Regions from separate parts of the Mus musculus genome. Here all the other regions are reported to be linked to region 2. Evidence: microRNA targets listed by miRTarBase, many of them from high-throughput screens and not tested one by one. Region 2 holds a microRNA gene; each other region holds the end of a gene's coding sequence.
The links. The annotated mature microRNA mmu-miR-425-5p reads AAUGACACGAUCACUCCCGUUGA and lies in region 2 at 3,153-3,175, shown strand. An mRNA with a match to its seed (bases 2 to 7 or 8) in the 3' UTR can be bound and repressed. Matches are read on the target gene's strand: a 7mer-m8 pairs with bases 2 to 8, a 7mer-A1 pairs with bases 2 to 7 and ends in A, and an 8mer does both.

Region 1: miRTarBase lists Hdgfl3 as a target of mmu-miR-425-5p. Seed matches in the 3' UTR shown: 8mer at 4,279-4,286 and 7mer-m8 at 2,763-2,769.
Region 3: miRTarBase lists Sfxn5 as a target of mmu-miR-425-5p. Seed matches in the 3' UTR shown: 7mer-A1 at 3,079-3,085.

Annotation. Positions count from the first base shown.
Region 1 is chr7:81,881,174-81,886,471 of GRCm38, forward strand. It overlaps Hdgfl3 (HDGF like 3), which reads right to left. Exons shown (of 6, transcript NM_013886.4): 6 at 83-4,910. The coding sequence ends at 4,905. It overlaps Tm6sf1 (transmembrane 6 superfamily member 1), which reads left to right. Exons shown (of 10, transcript NM_145375.4): 10 at 2,042-2,906. The coding sequence ends at 2,233. Among named protein-coding and RNA genes, the nearest start is that of Tm6sf1, 25 kb to the left of the region's middle.
Region 2 is chr9:108,565,637-108,573,620 of GRCm38, forward strand. It overlaps Mir425 (microRNA 425), which reads left to right and starts at 3,141; the gene lies at 3,141-3,225. Dalrd3 (DALR anticodon binding domain containing 3) reads left to right here and starts at 4,256. Exons shown (of 12, transcript NM_026378.3): 1 at 4,256-4,439; 2 at 4,514-4,809; 3 at 4,928-5,178; 4 at 5,256-5,335; 5 at 5,409-5,537; 6 at 5,810-5,883; 7 at 5,977-6,038; 8 at 6,146-6,228; 9 at 6,305-6,481; 10 at 6,551-6,661; 11 at 6,757-6,825; 12 at 6,915-7,135. The coding sequence starts at 4,275. The coding sequence ends at 7,034. Mir191 (microRNA 191) reads left to right here and starts at 2,683; the gene lies at 2,683-2,756. It overlaps Ndufaf3 (NADH:ubiquinone oxidoreductase complex assembly factor 3), which reads right to left and starts at 1,800. Exons shown (of 5, transcript NM_023247.2): 1 at 1,215-1,800; 2 at 920-1,115; 3 at 705-771; 4 at 523-623; 5 at 1-439. The coding sequence starts at 1,291. The coding sequence ends at 323. It also overlaps Wdr6.
Region 3 is chr6:85,210,875-85,216,172 of GRCm38, reverse strand. It overlaps Sfxn5 (sideroflexin 5), which reads left to right. Exons shown (of 14, transcript NM_178639.4): 14 at 427-3,122. The coding sequence ends at 504. Among named protein-coding and RNA genes, the nearest start is that of Emx1, 26 kb to the right of the region's middle.

The sequences.
Region 1 (5,298 bases), not on the chromosome of region 2:
ATGTCCTACTACTACTACTACTGGTATAGGAAAAATGCTTTCAAGATTCTTTTTGTATTCTGACAGTCACAAGAGCATTGTTGTTGAATGTTTATTGAACTCTAACAACGTGATAGGTGCCACACAAAACATTAGACACAGTATCTGCCCAGTGGGCGTACAATCTAATCTAAGGACGCATCATTTTTTTGAATGTTGTCATGACCTTCCTGTTCACGAGAATGAGGTATTAACTGCACTGTTCAGTGCAGAGAAGGGCCCACACAATCACTGACCTTTCATACAGGTTTACCTATATAGGTACACCCAGCTGCTCATGTTACTTATTCTTGGGAATTGTGGGTAGTATTTTTCTGTCATTTTATGATGAGCACAATAATCTCTAAGGATAGAATCACTAAACCCACAAGTCTGACAAAACCAGGGTTCAAAACTGGCCTCTAGTCCAGAAGAAAATTGTTGTATGTTCAAAAAAACAGCTAAAGCAGGGCCCAGAGAACAAGTGTCAGGAGTCAAGGCTTCTGCCAGAGTCCCCAGACTGTTCACAGCAGTGTCTCTTCTGGGCAGCTTCCAAAGTGCCCTTTATTCTCAAGGACTCTGTCTGTGTAGCCTTGAGATGCACTCATTTGCTGGGCCTTTGGCTTTGTGCCCTAGGGAGTGTGTCTGCGGGCAGAACCTTCTCAGTGCCCGAGGAGAATCACAGTGTGGGTAAGCCACTTGTTGGTCCTTGTCAACACACATCAGGAATTTAATTTTTATTTCCAGAGTAGTAAAAGTATCCGGAATATATCAGTAATTTATAAATTGTAGCCCATTAAAATATCTGCCATTTATACAAATTCCTAAACATGCTCTTTTCTTTGCCAAGGTCACATCAAATGCCAAGTAGCACTTTTATCTGTTAGCACTTAGCACTCTCAATTGATCATATGGAAGGACATATAAGGTAACAATACATTAAGAACACACTCTCTAGTGATTCACTGTTACTTCTGTCTCTTTAGATTGCAGGATCCTTTATCGTCTCACTTTGATCATAGTATACTGATAATCTGCCATTTAACTACATTTAAATCTTTAGTCTTTATTTCTGTGTATCTTGAATTTCAGGCAAACATAAAAGTGCAGACTTGGGGTTTGCATTTTATAATAACAAGTTTTCTGAGAAAAATACTCTGTCGGTTTTCAATTCTGCTATGGCCTGTATTACTTTTCTAATAGTTTTTCTCTGTGCTTATGAAAAGTACAAAAAACAAATGAGCCAAGCAAAATTCAACTGGCACATTCTGAATAGTTTATAAACTATCCCATGTAAACAGAGGGAGCCCTTGCTGTTCTGTTCTGAAACTTCAAACATGCTGACCAGTCACAATTCTAAGTAGATTTCAGTCTGATTTGGAAAGGCTGCCTGTGTATATATTTGCCATTTTATAATCATATTGCTATCCACAGCCAAGCTATTAACAAGCTTACCTTACAAACAATCATAGTGCTATTAAGTTACATAAAACCAAACACACGGATGAATAAGCAGTACATGTGATGGTCTCTGAGCTCTGGCATCCAGTGGTTGGTCTGAGACCCTTAGTGCTTCTCTCTAAAGTAGCTCCTCATACTAATTACAGCTTAAATGTTAAAACCCAACTTCATTTGTAATTCAAACCCAATTTGTGAGACCTTGCTGAGTGTCTATATAGTTAGTGTTCCTAAGATTCAAATTAGAAAGAGGGGGAGATTTTGTTGTTGTTGTTGTTGAATTGAGCCAGTATTGTTTGTTATTTGGCACAGGATAGGTTAAAAATACACAACTGGAATAATAAAATCACACTTTAAGAAGGATACATTATTTGAATACTTATATCAAGAACAACCTTAAATTTAGTGAAAGATTATATATTAAGACTGGATTACCTAAAGGTATTTTGCCTTTAAGACAGGTTTTGAGGGCACATGGTCTGAATGAGACACTCAGAATTCATCATTAATCCAAGTGAACAGAGCTCATCCTTACTGTTTTTTTGTTTTGTTTTAATATAAACAGGCTCAGTTTTCTCACATTGGTGCGTCCCTTCATGCTAGAACTGCTTATGTCTACAGAGTCCCCGAAGAAGCGAAAATCTTTTTTCTAGCACTAAACATAGCATATGGAGTTCTTCCTCAGCTCTTGGCCTACCGTTGTACCTACAATCCCGAGTTCTTCCTAAGAACTAAGGCAGATGAGAAGTTGGAATAAACAAACATACCTCACAGTTCTCTCTGACCTGTTAATGGGACTGGCGCTCTCCTTTATCCCCTCCATACAGGAATACTCACAAGAACACACTTGTTCTGCAGCATACATGTGAGTGAAACTAAGGGTAGTATCTGGGTATATTCTCAGTTTTGAAAGAAAATTAAAGTTGAGAAACAGCTTTTTTAAGGAAATATATCACCATTTGTCTATGAATGTGACCATTGATTTTAGCATTGTTTGCACATAGTATGTGTGAAAATTACAACTCTAGTGCCTACAAAAAGCATAAAAATGAAACTATTCAGAAGTAACTAACCATACTATGCATAAGAAATAATTCAAAACAGCAATTGCAGGTTGGAGAAATGGCTTCATATGAAATGTATGAGTTGTTGACAATCTTAATATAAATGCCAGATCATCACAATATTTTTAAATTGATTCAAGTGTTTTCACAAGGAAAGCATATTATTTATTGCCATTTTAAAAATTGCTGTCAAAACTTCTATTGTGAATTTGAATAGCTAAGATGACACAAATCAACTTTATTAGTTGCCTTAATGAACACTTGTTTTATTGGTTGATAATATTTCTCTTGTGTTTCTGTGTATACCTTCAATACTGTGTATACCTTCAATAAAATTATTTTTGGTGTTTATGAAGATAAACTTTATTAATTTTGAAGCATTTTATATATACATTTTCATGACAAATTTTGAACTTTTTATTTAAGAAATCTGTGCCAGGTAGTGGTAGCACACGCCTTTAATCCTTGCACTTGGGATTCAGAGACAGGCTGATCTTTTGAGTTCCAGGCTAGCCTGGTCTACAGAGTGAGTTCCAGGATAATCAGGGCTACACAGAGAAACCCTGCCTCAAACAAACAAACAAACAAAAAAACCTTTGTTATATGTTCCAATTTAAAAATGCTATCTACATTCTCCATATGTTTTGCATGATAATGAAGAGATCTTTTGTCAAATTTCATTATTTTAAACTAAAATATTTAAAATTAAAAAGTACCTTTTAAAGAAAAAACCCTGACTTAACAGCCTGTCTCTTAATGAATTTTCCATACATGGAACTGCGTGAGCACAACAGGGGACCACTGATTGCTAACCGGCAGGAGCAAGCCCAAAGGACAGTGATGTCCTGGAGGGAGGGGTGAGTAGACCAGTGCATCCAGAGCCCCACATCACCTCCATCTTCACAACGACACTGGGCTCTTAGGTCTTCTTCTATTTTCTCTTCACGTTCATTAGTTCTTCAACACAGTAAGAACACCAAAAGCAAACTGGATGCACGGAAGGCTGTGTGTAAATGCAGGGTCCCCTGAGCTGGGCTGTCGCAGACGTGCAGACAGCCCCTGCTGCTGCAGCTCCTGCTGTTGCTCCCTCCTGTCCCCCCACGGCTTTCACTTAACCTAACATCCAGAATACTTAAAAAGAAACATGATAGAAAAAATAAAATTTTCACCTGCACTTAATTCTAATGTCAATTTGCTGTCAATCTTTGCTATAATACAAGAAACACATTAATACTTCACATTACACATATGAAGCCAAATAACACTAACTCGGCTGTTTATAACCTCAAACCTTACTCCCAGTACACATTCCAATAAATTTATTCTGTAAAAACAATACATTTTTTTGTTTTTGATTTTTTTTTTTTACAGTAAACTTCTCAGCTACAAACCTCAAACACACACAAAAGATCTTCCAAGGACAAGCATAGCAGGGTTGATGAGACCCAAACTGACTAATGAGTTCTCACAGTATAAGCTGGCATAAAAATAAATAAGACTCTATCACCACAAGAGCGACAGTAATGCACACGTAACAATGGTTGGCGGATGAACGTTAACTACTCTAATTCTAGTTCTAAAAGAAAAGTCTATTTTAAACTCTGTACTCAAGAGTCAATGCTTTGTTTCCCACAGTGCTCCTGCTGAGCTCAGCTTTCAGTGTAAAGTGACCATCTTGAGGGATTGGCTCAAATTGTATTGGCTTTGGGAAAAAAAATAAGTCCTTGCTTTATTTTGGTATGACACAAAAAGACTCAGTAAGTTCACATATAAACTTAGTTTGTGGACACAGGAACATGAGTTTTGAGAAGTATTAAGTTTCAACTAGCTATTTCTAATACAGAATAGGTATTGTACATATGGTTAAACTTTACACATGGCCTTAAAACTGAAAGATGACTCTAACTTCATCTCCAATACACCAACAGTATGTATCTAGGAGTTGGTTCTTGGGTTCTGCTACAAAGAAAATCCCATCCTGAAGTATTATGTTGAGCAGTCACCTAACAATATGAATTACTGTTTAGCTGAGTATCTGATGATGGTGGGAGAGAGGCAGGAAGCTGATGACTTGGAAAAGGAGCCTAGACACAGAGAAGTCTGCAAAATCTTCATCATTCTTAGTGATTAAGGGCAACTTCATGCAACCAAATAACATAAAATAAAGTCAACCTTAAAAGGGTTAAAATGTCTCTTTTTCCTTCAACAGAACAGAGAGGAATGTGACTAATGCACACACATACTGGGGCTCTGTCAATGACAACAAAGACCGTTGGTTCATATCAAATCCAAATCCAAGAATTAGACAATCAAACAGTTAACCTTCTTGTGGTGTCTCTCAATATGCAGCATTCATTACGGTAGTTAGGTCTGTAAAAAAAAAAGCAAATAAAACAAGCCTTAGATGAGCTAGGACACTACCGAGGGAAGCTCATCACCATCACCCTGTGGGCACTGGGTTCTTGTCCTTTGCAGTCTGAGTCAGCATCACAGCAGCAGTACTTAACGAAACAGCGTCAGAGGCTTTGCTTTCTATCAACTAAACACTGACACGCTACGTTAGTATCCTGTTCAAAACCAGACAAACCCTAGGGGTAACCTCTGTTGCCTCTCCAGTGGAGGAAGCTATGGCAGTGGCACATGCTGTACCACTCAAGGAGGTGAGTACTGCTGCTGCCCACCACACTCCTAAGAGAGGTGGTCTGTCTGACCGGGGTGAGCAGTATAAGCTGAAGGCCATCTGGGTGCACGCAGACTG
Region 2 (7,984 bases):
GTTCATAGCATAGTCTCATTTGTGACAGAGCCTTGGGCCATGCCCTGTGGACTTCATGGACCTGTAGTTCTACTTCTAAAGAAGTTGGGAAAGCTATTGGGGTCTCCTCAAATCTGCCTCCTAGCCTTTAAGGGACCAGGGAATATCCTACATTGTCTGGGTGAAAACAACCCTTAGTCATTCCCGTCCCCCTTCCCGTCAGCAGCCAAACTGAGCAACAAAAATATGTAAGAGGAGTATAAATTATTATCCTGGGTGAGCATGACAAGTGTGGAGAAAGCGTTGAGAGCATGCAGTGCCCTCCTTGATGGTTCCTGATGTGTCATTCTGAGGCTTGACCCAAAGAAGCCAGTGCAGTCTCTCCAGGAGGGGGAATGAGGGCAGCTCCTGTCACTCGACCTTCGTGGCACAGGAAGTTGAAAGTGGCACAGGCATTGGGCTGCAAGGAGAACAGCATGAGAATTAGCATGCCTGGGCTGAGTAGGCTTGAACTAGGTGGACTTGTCACGTCCAACGACCTACCGTGTCCTGGACCTCCACAGCAATTCCCCGCTGCCTCATGGCCTGTAGTACTTGAGGGTGCAGCCGCTCAGTCTTGTTTCCAGTGCCCACCACAACAATCTCTAAGGGTGGAGACAACCAAACGATGAGGGTCTGATAGAGAGGTGGTCACTTAGGACCCAGTGCTACCCACTGCCCCATACCTATCCTAGGTTCCAGCATCCAGAAAAGGGAGAAGCTCTCTTCAGTGATATCCTGATGAGATCCCACCTGTATGGTAGCAGAGGCCATTCAACACATCAAATCTATACAGCCTTTACTCACAGCGACACTAATAGGCAACAAAATAAAGCTAAATTTGCTAGGAGGGAGTGGCTTCTGGCGCTATTTAAATTTCAATGTAGGGGAGAAGGCTCACGTTCCACTGGACCACCGTCTGTGGGAGCAGCACGCAAGGGCCAAACACGCGATTTCCGCAGATAGTGAAGCCTCTGCTACTGTAGCTGTCGATGTACACGGCCTGAGGGAACTCGCTTTGCAGCAGTGAGATGCGAGTCCGCTGGTATAACTCATCGTCCGCCGGAGAAAGCCGGTGTCCCCGACGCGGGTTCCTCCTGCGGAGGGCTAAAGTCAGGAAGTCGTGGCCCGGCCGGACTATGCGGGATTGAAAGGTCCGAGGCCAAGTGGTCAGAGGCTGGACAGGGGATGCTCACCACAGCCGGTCGACGTGCCGACAGAGCGGCGCAGGTCGCGTTCGGAAAAGGCAGCGAAATCCTAGAGCAGTAGCCATGGCTGCAACGGCGCTTAACGACCCGGTCGTAGGGACAGAGTTGTCTGTCTCAAAGTAGCCACAGCGCCCCTTGCGTCCCGGAGGGCACCGCGCACCTTGAACGGCGCAGTAGGCCAATGCAGAGCCTCTGTCTCCCCATGCGGGTGTGTCAGCACCTGTCGCCCACCCCGCCCCATGCCTCCAGCGACAGTCCCTAAGGAGGAGGGGGAAAAACACCTGCTAGTACGGGCGCCCTAAGGGTATTGTTTAGGCCACTGCCGCGGCCTGTTCCTGGGATTCTCAGCCATTATTCGGGCTCCCAGGGACCAGGGCGGGGCAGCTGCGCACCTGGTCCTGTTATGAACACCTGGCCAGGGTGTGGTGCCAGCCTCCAGGCCCTTAATCCCAGGCTTTGGAGAATCGGGCTCCGGGGGCGGGGCAGATGGCTAAAATTTCCCTAGCTAGTCTCGAAATCGCTGCTTTCCCCAACCGTCACCAGCGCGACCGTTGGCGACGGCGCAGCGCTCCATGAGAGGCGTGGCCGAGCATGGATTGGCTTCCCGGCAGCGCGAGGGGGTGTGGCCAGATGGTTTCTCCTTAAAATGGCTCCAAGTCTGGGGACAGCTAGAGCCAGCGGAAGGGCACGCCGTGGCAGTGCTGGAGTAGCTGTTCGAGTGGGACTGACTGGGCCAAACCGGACCAGACGTGAAGTAGACCGCGCCTGGAGCACCACCCCGCCCTTGCGCGCTCTGCGCGCGCGTACCGAGAGTCTCCCTCCCCCTGTCTTGAGCTGAGTCTAGGGCCTACTGGCGCATGAGTCCTTGGCGTCCCGCGGCATGGGCATCTCTGCGCACCGGTTCTGTCCTGGCCTCAGAGGAACTTTGTCGCGTTCTCTATCCGCTGGACTAGACGGGTGGGATGCTTGACACAAATGGGGCTTGGCTGTGGGGTTCTTTGCAGGGCCGGTTGCAATGGGCTTGGGGGGAGGCTGTCCTGCCGCTGCTATGTGGGCCAGTTTGGCCCCTGGCACTTCATGAGCTGGCACCGTCACCAGACAAAAGGTCCTAAGCTTTGGGGAGTCCCAGAAGTGGACACATGGGTTTACTTCCTCTCGGGTCTCACGGAATCGCTTCCCTCTTGACGGATTCCGAAGCCTGCCCGGTACAAGTGGCTCCTGCTTGGGACTCACAGGGCTAATCCAGCCCTTCTGATCTAATCCGGATCAGGACCTCGTCCCGGGGGATGCCCCCACCTTCTATTGTTCTGGGGCCCAGGTGAGCGTCTCATTCTCACTAGACTGGTTTAAAACACCTACTCCTTCCTACTCAGCCCACTGGGAAGGGATGGGCGGGTTCCGGTTTGGCCTCAGGGCGAGTGACCTGGGAGCAAGAGCCCTCCTCCAATGGCTGGACAGCGGGCAACGGAATCCCAAAAGCAGCTGTTGTCTCCAGAGCATTCCAGCTGCACTTGGATTTCGTTCCCTGCTCTCCTGCCTGAGCAGCGCCCTGGCCCAGATAATGTGGTCTCTATTCTCAGAAACACTACACTACTGGGCCATTCTGATCTCCATCTCTCAGGTGCACCCCCAGACTGATGGTGGCAGTCAGAGGCGACGAAAAAAGCTCGGGCTGATGGCCCTGTCTGGAATCCCTGGAGAACTCTGACCAGGGAGGTCCTGGGTCCTCTCTCTGAAGGGCCGCAATGGCGGTGAGTCCCACAAGGCCGCCCAGCCCGCAGCTCGCTAAAGATAGATCTTCACTTCCTGGGGAAAACCCACCCCAACCGTCTTCATGGAGGGAGAGTAGCTAAAATCACCAACTTGCTGGTGGGTCCCAGCCCTGCTAGCAGCTGAACCCACACCACAGCATGGAAAGTGCTTTGGAATGACACGATCACTCCCGTTGAGTGGGCACCCAAGAAGCCATCGGGAATGTCGTGTCCGCCCAGTGCTCTTTCGGCACCTCCCAAACAGGGCCTCATAGCCCCGGCCTTCCCGAACTTTTCCTATCTCTAGATGTCACTCCTCTCCGGAGCAAAGTTCACCGGTTGGATTCATTCATTACTGGGGGAAGTGGAGTTTCACGTTACTTGGAAACGAAAGAGTTTGGACATAGAAAAGCTCACCTGCAGCTTGCTCTACCTGAGAGCTCTGCTTATTTGGGTCTTCTCATCATCACATTTGTCTTAAACTGACCAGTTGCCTAAAGAACCAAAGGTGCCGGTAACACCAGTTTAAAGGAAAAACATTAAAGGCTGGTAATCCTGGAATCATGATGACTAATTCCTCGGGTATCAAGATGGGCAATTCTATCCGATTGGGCTTTTACTGGGAATAAAGACATTCCATACCGCAGCCGAGGAAAGGCGTACCAATAATCAGAACTCAAATTTTGCTTTGTTTCGTTACTTTTCCAAGTAGGCGGTAAAGAGTCTTTAATGGAAGACACGAGTGGTGGCACACACCTTTAATCCCAGTACTCAGGAGGCAGAGGCAGGTGGATTTCTGAGTTCAAGGACTTTCTGGTCTACAAAGAGTTCCAGGACAGCCATGGCTACACAGTGAAACCCTGTCTTGAAAAACAAAGTGTCATTAATGGTACAGCCTTATTCCTTTGACATTTCGTCTCGTGCGTCTGGCCTTTAATTTGTTTAAATGGGGCAGAAAAAGAAAAAAGAGACATAAACACAAAGATGTGAAACTTTGGTGGCAAAGTGTCTTGCCTGGTAACAAAGATCCGTTATCAAAGTAATAATTCGGGGTGACGATTTTTTTAAAAAGGAGGAAAAATGGACCCTCAAATTTGGAGGTTAGGGCTCATGAATACAGGAAAGGCCATCGGGAGGGAGAGCTGGAGGCGTGGGTAGAATGTAAGCTCACTTGGCATGCTCGATCGCTCTGGTCCATTCAGGAGAGTCCACGGCCGGATCCCCGCCCCCGCCAGGCGGACCTCCCGGAAGCTCTACGGATAACTTACTTCCTGTTCCATTTAGTCTTCCGGTCGCCATGGCGACCGGGCGCCTTGGGGTTGGCGAGACGCTGGAGGCCCTTAATGCAGCTGTAGGGCCTGGTAGCCCAGTGTGGTTTAAGGAAACCCATGCCCGGCACCTTCGTGTTCGAGACTTCTTGGCACCGCGAAGCGCGCTACAGGCGCGCTTCAGGGACGGCCAGGTGGGTGCGCTCCTGTGGGGCATGCCTAGCGGGATCCACGGAACTACGGCCCACTTACACACATCTGCCTGCAGGTGCCAGAGTGCGTGTTCCGTGCGGTCTCCTGCCTGCAGGGTCCCGGAGTGGCCCCTGTACTGCGCTGCGCGCCGACACCCGCGGGTTTATCGCTCCAACTACAGCGGCCCGCTGTCTTCGAACATGTACTCGGTGCCCTGGCCTCCTATGCTACTCCCGCCAAACCTGCCTCACCAGGCCCGCGAGTTGTCCTACACTGCCCAGCACTGCGCTGTAATTCGGGGACGCTCCGATTGAGCCAGCTGCGTGCCGTGCTCGTAGCCGATCATCTAGTACGGGTACTGCGTGCTCATGGGTAAGTGCGTGTTCGAAGCTATAATGGCAAAAGACCGAACATTTGGGGATAGAAAAGGTGGGAGTCATGATAATCTAAGCCTGGTCCGCAGGCTGAGACAGCCTCCCTTGCTTTGCAGGGTACGTGTGTGCTCAGTGCCCCCGGTGCGGGACCCTCACATGTCAACTTTCCTCCAGAAACTTCGGGTGGAATGGCCCACTGCCTCGAAGAGCACCTCGACCGAAACACTGAGAACCTGTGTTCTTGCAAACCTTAATGGTTCTAAGGAAGCGACGCTGCCCCCTGGCGTCCTAGGCCGACTGTGTCTGAAGGAACTGGTAGAACAGAGAGGCACTGCTGGCTATGACCCCAGCATAGACCACTGTTTGGGTAGGACAAACGGCAGAACATGGGTGGGGTTGTGTCTCTGCACTGCCAGGCACTTCAACACCTCTTGTTTTCTGTAGTGACTGAAGATGTGCTCTCTGTGCTCTCGGAGCTGCAGGAGGCTGTGCGCCACTGGCCAGAGGGCGGCCACCCAGGCCCGGTGAGTGGCTGCCTTGACCTCTGCCCAAACTGGATTTTTGTATCTTTGTAGTAACTGCCCCATCTCTCCTCAGGCTGGGCGTCCAGATGCTGGTGTAGATGACTGCGTGGTTATACACGTGGTTAGCTGTGAAGAGGCATTCCAGCAACAAAAGCTGGATTTGCTCTGGCAGAAATTGGATGACCGGGCTCCTCACAAGCAGGTTGGTTACCAAAGTTAACCAAACCACCTCCGACCTCAGGCCTGGAATACCATGGGGTTTAGAGACTGATGTGACCATAGGCACCCGTGCTACAAGTGCAAATGTCCTGTGACTATGTAGTCTTAAGAAAAAGGATGATGGTGTCTTGAGGAGGTACGAAGGAAGGCTGGTGGTTACAGATTGGGAAAACCAAGGTAGAAAAGCAACTGATATAGTTCCCTGAAGCGGGGAGGGTAGTGCCAACTGGGCTGAGCCCTTCCAGTCTTTCACAGAAACACCTGGTGTGTGGTCCCGTGAAAATGGCTGGTGTACCCGGCACCCAGCTGACTGCCCCTCAGTACTACAGGTGAGTATGAAAGGGATGCCATCCACAGCCACCAACAGCGTAAAGGTAGGGACAGCTTTCACTGAGACCTTGCTTACTGGCTCGCTTTTCTAGGCTCAGACATGCTCAGGTGTGCGAGGCCTCAGCTCTGAAGCACGGAGGAGACCTGGCACAAGGTACACCTGGGAGATCCTGCGTGTGCGCTGAGGTGGAAGCAGGTCACGCACACCTCTGGCCTGTGTGCTTCGTCTTCAGACACTGACCAGCCTCTCTCGCACCCCAGACCCCGCCTGGACTGAGACCTTCGACATCCTCTCCGTGGCTACCATCAAATTTGAGATGCTAAGCACAGCCCCACAGAGCCAGGTAAGCCTCCCGACACCAGGACGGAGGATGCAGGTACAGAGCCAAGGCCCTCTGCAGCTATGTTACCATTCCCCAGCTCCTCCTGGCCCACAGCACCATCTCAACAAAGGGCACAAAGAGCGGGACTTTTGTCATGTATAACTGTGCCCGCCTTGCCACACTCTTCGAGGGCTACAAACATGGAACGGAGCAAGGTCTGTATCCCACTTTTCCGCTTGTGAGCAGTCTGGACTTCTCACTACTCCATGATGAGGTGAGTGTTGGTCCTGATAAACGTCCACAAGGCTTGGACTTGTCTTCCTAGCACGCTTGTCTCCCGCAGGGTGAGTGGCTGCTGCTTTTCAACAGTGTCCTTCCCTTTCTGGACCTGCTGAGCCAGACTGTGAGTCTGGCCGGCACCCCAGGCCTCCACATCCCTGTCCGCACGGAGATGGTAAGGCACAGAAGACATTTCACACATTATTCTTTATTCTGGGTTGTAACACAAGAAAAAAGACAACAGCTCAACGACTCAACGTCTGTCTCTAGGTATGCAAGTTCCTGGTGCAGCTCAGCATGGATTTCAGCTCCTACTATAACCGAGTACATATTCTAGGGGTGAGCATACAGCAAGGGGGGTCTGCGGGAAATGTGGGCAAGGCTGAGCACACGGGAAATGAGGATGCGCCTGGCTGCTTTTCTTTCAGGAACCTCGGCCACACCTCTTTGGTCAGATGTTTGCTCGCCTACAGCTTTTGAGGGCAGTGCGTGAGGTGTTCCACACAGGCTTGGCTATGCTGGGCCTCCCTCCGCTGAGCCACATCTAAGGGCCCAATAACTGGGAATGTTTATAAAAGCATCAACTGGGAAAGAAACAAGACCTCACAGATGTTGGGCACTTAAAGTCAGAATAAATACAGTTTCATCCTATTGTGAGAGTGAGGCGTGTTCTTGGTCCTCCTATGCAACACCCTACTGGAATACTTGCGAGAACTATGGTACTGCCTCGCCTCCCCAGAGCACACTGAGCGTGACACAGACAGCTGATCCCTGCTCTACTGTCTGCAGTCAGGCCCTGTGCTCAGTTCTCCACCCACTGGGATAACTCAGTCATACCAGTTGTAAACCTCAAGTCCCTGACCTGCCAGAGCACAGCGGTGGCCAAACTCAGGGCTCACAGGCCAGCAGTCCATGTCGGCCACATCTGGCACATGGTACACAGTGCTATTCATGAAGGTGGGCTCACCCTGTCCCAGACGCCAGAAGGTCAGCCGCTGGTCTATGGAGGCTGAGACCATGAGCTTGGGACTTAGGATCTTGACGCCTGTCACATGGGCAGCATGTGCGCAGGGGACGGAATATTCCTCTAGGACACATAACTGGGGCACCAGCTCAGCCTCCCCATCAGCTTCTTCCGGCTCTGGCATCTTCACAGCAAGTGTGAAGACATGCAGGGACCCATCCTCACTGCCACTGGCCACAAGGTGGTGGCCCTCAGGTGTAGGCAAAGTGTGCAGGCTATTGACGCCACAGCTATGGGCTTGCACGGTCATGGAGGGGGTGCCCATCTCTGGAGGAAGAGAGTGGCTGTTAGCTCCCGCTTTTATCTTGTGAGAGAGGTAATGAGGGGTGTCACGGTACTCACGGTAGGGAAGCCCAGGGTGTGCTGGAAGCTCCAGGGTAGTAGAGCCTTTGTCCATTGCCGTGGTGAGATCCCAGAAGGCTAGGCTGCCATCTGTAGCTGCACTGCACAGGATCAGCCTCCTGGAAGCCAGGA
Region 3 (5,298 bases), not on the chromosome of region 2:
AGGCTGGGAAAGAGCTGAAGTAATGGTCCCTGAGACCTGAGTTGGTGTGTGTGTGTGTGTGTGTGTGTGTGTGTGTGTGTGTGTGTGTGTGTGACAGAGTATCTGAGACCTGCAGTATTATTGGTCCAGGAGAGCAGAGAATGGGGTACTGCCAGGGAAAAGGCTTAAGGAGGACTAGACAATGGGTCCTCAAATGTGCCTGCAGTAAGAGGAACTAGGGTATTTCCAATGAGGGAAACCCAGAATGTAGACAAGAAAGAGGCTAATCGTGAGCTGATAGAAGAGAAAGCACGCATATCTCTTGCTAGGACATAGAGGTACCGGCTAGGGGACATGCAGAGGAAAAGAACTGTAGGTACCAGGTCAGGCCTTAGAGCCACTGCCCTGGCACTCCCCAGCTCTGCACTCTTCTCTTTCTCTCCTCAGATTGAAACCTCCCAATTGGAGCCTGAGATAGCCCGGGCTACCAGCAGCCGGACAGTGGTGTACAATAAGGGGCTGTGAGTGAAGACCAGCCGGCCTGGGCACACAGCACTATCCAGGCCGGGCGTTCGGGGTGGGGAGAGAAGTCTCTTGAGCTGTCTCTGCAAGGAGGGGCTGCCTGGAAAGCAGCCAACCTCCGTCAGTAGGGAGACTAACCATTCACATTTTAACATAGGGGAGAGGAATTCTGACACATTTCCTACACAAAAAGAATCAAGTGCATCTCTGGGCCTTACATGGGGTCAGCTAAACTCCACTCAGCACAATTTCGTGTGAGCTAAAGAACTGTAGAGTGCTTCTGGGGTAGAAGTAGTATCCTTTTATATGTTCTTTTTTTTTTTTTTTTCGGTTTGTTTTAATTTTTTTTTTATTAGAAGCAAGTCTGAGCCTTGGTTGCAGCTGACCAAAAGTAGCAGGACAGGTGGCGGGAGCCAGAGGAGCATGGGAACTGGTTTGCATTGATGGGAGGGGAGTATAATGGTTAGGCCTGGTGGGCCCCTCGGGTTAGAGAAGGGAAGGGAAGGGAGGTGGTCTGCACCCCACAGGATGAACCAAGGTTTTTGGGAATTGGCTTTCTCTATCAAAGAGCACTAGAGACCCCTTGGAAGATTCCGGGAACACCAGGCTCTGAATGTACCCAGCTCCTACCCACCCCACAGCTGAGGGAAAGTCAGATGACCCCAGGCACGGGTCATCTTTCATGGAGCTCTTATTGATTCCAGGTCCCTGAGAGTAGCCCAGCTCTAGTCAGGGATCCCCAAGAAGCAACACTGTTCTGTGGGAACAAGGAGAGAGGATCCTGCCTGGGCTTTGCAGGAGGGTTCTTTTCCACAAGTAGCTAGAGTTTCCTACGGGGACAAAGGTGGGCTGAGCCCACTGTGGTCCAGTCTGCAGCCACTGAAGCTGTCACAACCCACACCTTTCTGCAATAGAGGAGTCTCCTGCCTGAGGGTGCAAGGCCGGATCCTGAGGGTGCAACTGCCTGAGAGGTCGCCTCAGCAATGGACAAGCCACCCACATCTCCGAGCTTCCATTCCCTGCCTGGAAGCGAAGGACTGAACTTGGGTTCCCCACAAGCCTGGGGCTCCTCTCTACCTGCTTCACTCAGATGTGCACATTCCAGGCATCTCAAAGGTGGATTCTGGACTGGAAAGTGCATCAGGCCATTCTGGAAATGGCCAGCACTTAGCCTACAAAAGCACCTTGTCCTTCTGTGTGGACTCCCCTACATCCTAAAAAACCTTGACTTGTGCCAAACCCTTCCTGGCTGTGGAGGAGGCAGTATGGATGCCTGAGCTGAGCTTAGGGGTCACACGGCATGCCCTTCCTCACTGCTGCAGACTTGGGGCCTCTTGCTGCTGGCTCCATCTCGTCACGTGTAGGCCACAGAGGAAGAGATAGCTCTACCTAAGGAGGCAGGGTCTGGGTGAGCTGAACAGGGTGACTCCTGGTCCAAAGGACCCACAGAGAGGAGATACACTGATCTCTACACAGCCCTCATCTGTCCACCCTAGGATGGGAACCCTGGCTCATGACCCTGGAATCTGACACAGGAGGGGTCAGGCTGAAGATCAACATGTATGGTTGCAGAAAAAGGCTGGCGCGAGGCAGCAAGGACAAGGTCACAGGTTCCCTGCCAGCATCTTAAGGCAGGTGTAGCTGTAGCAAGATGGGCTGAGCATGGGTATTGGGCTCCAGGCCTTGGCTGGACACTAGATCTGTTTGCTGAAGCCTCTTTTGAAAAGTTCATTCTCAGCTTTTTTTTTTTTTTTTTTTTTTTTTTTTGTCCCCACTTGTCCTGGAGCCTTGTCCTTATGCATTTATCTTGGGACCAAAACCTCCCTCCCCCAGGCCTGCCTGCTCCAGAGGTTCTTCCAGCTCGCCCTCTGTGCTGGCTGTCCCCATGGCCTCAGTACCCCTCGTAGGTGTGTTTTGTGTGTGGAGTGATTTCTGCCATGCTCCAATACACCCTGAGCCCAGGTGAGCTGAGGGGGCAACTCCTTTGGATTTGCTGTGACAGATGGTCCTTGTGGCCCACAGTGATGGTGGCTGAGCGTCTTGAGCCATGCTGTTAAACCCTGTTTTGACTTCATAAAAATCCATAAGGGAAGCTTTCTGTGAATGCAAATGTCCCTATTTGCTGAGGCTAGGGGACAGAAAGAGGCCTGGAGGAAAGGGGGCAAATTACCTCTCGTTGGGTGTGGTTTTTCCAGCAGTCAGGGCAAATCTACAGCAGGCTCTCCAGCTCTGATGTTCCTGGCCAACTCTCCTCTGATAACTTTTAAACATTCCCTGAAGGATGCTCTTCCATCTCTGGAAAGCAATTTGGGAGTACAGGAACCAAAAGTCCAAGATGCCAAATGGCCACCGAACCAAGATGTCTGCACTCTGTCTCATTTCCTAATTGTGGCTGTCTTATGAAAGTCTCTGGTCTGGGGAAGGGTGGGGCACTGAGGAGAGGGGCCAGTGGGAGGCAGGTCCATGCTAAGCTTCCAGCCTTGGGCAGGTATGAGTGAGGCTCAACACGTATGCCTCAGCATACCTAGGGACTTCAGACTTTTTAACCTCAGAAAATGTCTCAATGTATGTGATTTATGTCATACTAACGGGCTGTGGGCAATAAACATGAATTTAAAACACACAGGTGTGGCTTTGTGAATTATAGGGCAATGGGAGGAAAGGAATGAAGAAACACAGAGGGATTAAGTAAAGGCAGCTAGGGACTCTGCGGAAGAGTTCCCAAAGGAAGGCACATGCCCGGGGTTCAGGAAAGGCCCAGAGGAAAGGGTGAAAGAAAAGAGGAGGACATATGAGGGCAGGGAGCTGGTAAAAGAAGACTTGGAACCACAGAAGAGGATTGGCTTAAATGGCTCAGCCAGGGAAGAGCATTGCTTTGCAAGCCAGGGCCACTGATTCAGTCTTCAGAACCCATGGCGGAAGGAGAGAATTGATTCCTGAAAGTTGTCATCTGATTGCTGTGTGTCCTCTCATGTGCACCATAGCATGTGAGTCCCCAGCCCCCTGACCCCCACCCACAAAAGAAGTCCTATGGCTGAGTGGTTGCTGAAGAGGCTAACCCTAAGGAACTGGAATGCTCTAAGATTTCAGCTGGAGGGTGAAGGAGAGGGGACCACCATAGCCTGCCTATGGCTTGGAGACCTATGAGGGATCTCAGCCAACTACAGATATGATGTCTTCTGTGTGTATGGTCTCAATCCTAGAACTCTGCCCCCTCCCAACTCTCTCAGAGCCCCTCATGTGTTGGGTAGTTTTTATGTCAACTTGACATAACCATAGTAATATGAGAGATGGGGAACTATAATTGAGAAAATTAAGATGGTGTGTAGGATATTTTCTTAATTAGTGATTGATATGGGAGGACCCAGTCCATGTGGGTGGTGCTATACCTGGGCTGATGGTCCTGGGTGCTATAAGAAAGCAGGCTGAGCAAGCCATGGGGAGCAAGCCAGTAAGGAACATCCCTCCATGACTTCTGCTTCAGCTCCTGCCTCCAGGTTCCTGTCCTGTCTTCAGTAGGAACCTGTGATGTGGGAGAGTAAGCCAAATAAACCCTTTCCACCCCAACTTGCTTTTTGTCATGGTGTCTCATCACAGCATTAGTAACCCTATCACCTGATAGACCTGGTTTCCCTCCCAAACTGCCCCCTAGAAGTCCATATGGGAGGCCTGCCCTCTCCTATGGGACTACTGAGCATCTTTCAGCCCTGCAGAGAAGGAAGCTGATATGGAGAGAAAGCATTTGGTAGGCAGATGCTGGTCCCAGCATGGCCAGTGGCTGTTGTAAGTACTTTTTTGTTTGGGAGTATTCAGGTGCACATATGTGTACACATGTGAATGGAGGCCAAAGGTCACCTTTGGGTATCATTCCTCGGGAGCCATCCACCTTGATTTTGAGGTCTCTCGCTGTCCTAAAGTTTATCAAATTGGCTGAACTGGCATGAGCAAACCCCAGGATCTGCCTGTCTCTACTCCAGTACTGGGATTTATAAGCATGACCCAGAACAACCTGATTAGTATTAGTAGTAATAGTAGTAGTAGTAGTAGTAGTAGTAGTAGTAGTAGTAGTAGCAGCAGCAGCAGCAGCAGCAGCAGCAGCAGCAGCAGCAGCAGCAGCAGCAGCAGCTTTTAGTTTGCTCATTTTTTTGAGACAGGTTCTCTCTATATATATATTTAGCCCTGGTTGTCCTGGAACTCACTATGTAGACCAGGCTAGCCTCAACTCATAGAGACTCACCTGTCTCTGAGATTAAAGGCATTCACCACTATGTCCAGCCCCCTTGTTTTTTAAAAGTTGGTTTCATTACTTTGCCAACTGAACTCAACTGAACAGAGACTTGGTGCACTTACCTACCAAATGCCAACTCACTGGTGGGGAAGGCAACAGATCCTTCTCTCATGCCTCCTAATTATCTGGGGTGTGGGTAGGAGGCCAAGCCCTGGGCCCCCTTGGAATGGATGAAGAGGGAATAGGAAAGAGGGAGGGGATGGGGTCTCTATTCAAAGTGGTACCTTGAGGTCAGGAGGCTACTGGTCTCTGGGGAATTTCTTTGTAAGAGCTCGGATGGGCTACACAGCCCCCATCGGAACAGCAATCCTTGACTCTCAGGACATACACAAATCCCTCCTGGGAACTGTTTGTTGTTTTTAGCTGGATTGGGGACTGAGCTCCTGCCCAGCTCAGAGATCATTAACACTTGAAGAATGCAGCCCATGGACTGACCTGGATCTAGGCCTCTTGCTCCCCACTCAATCAAAGAGTAGGAGAGTCAGAACACTGGGGGCAGGGAGCAGGGT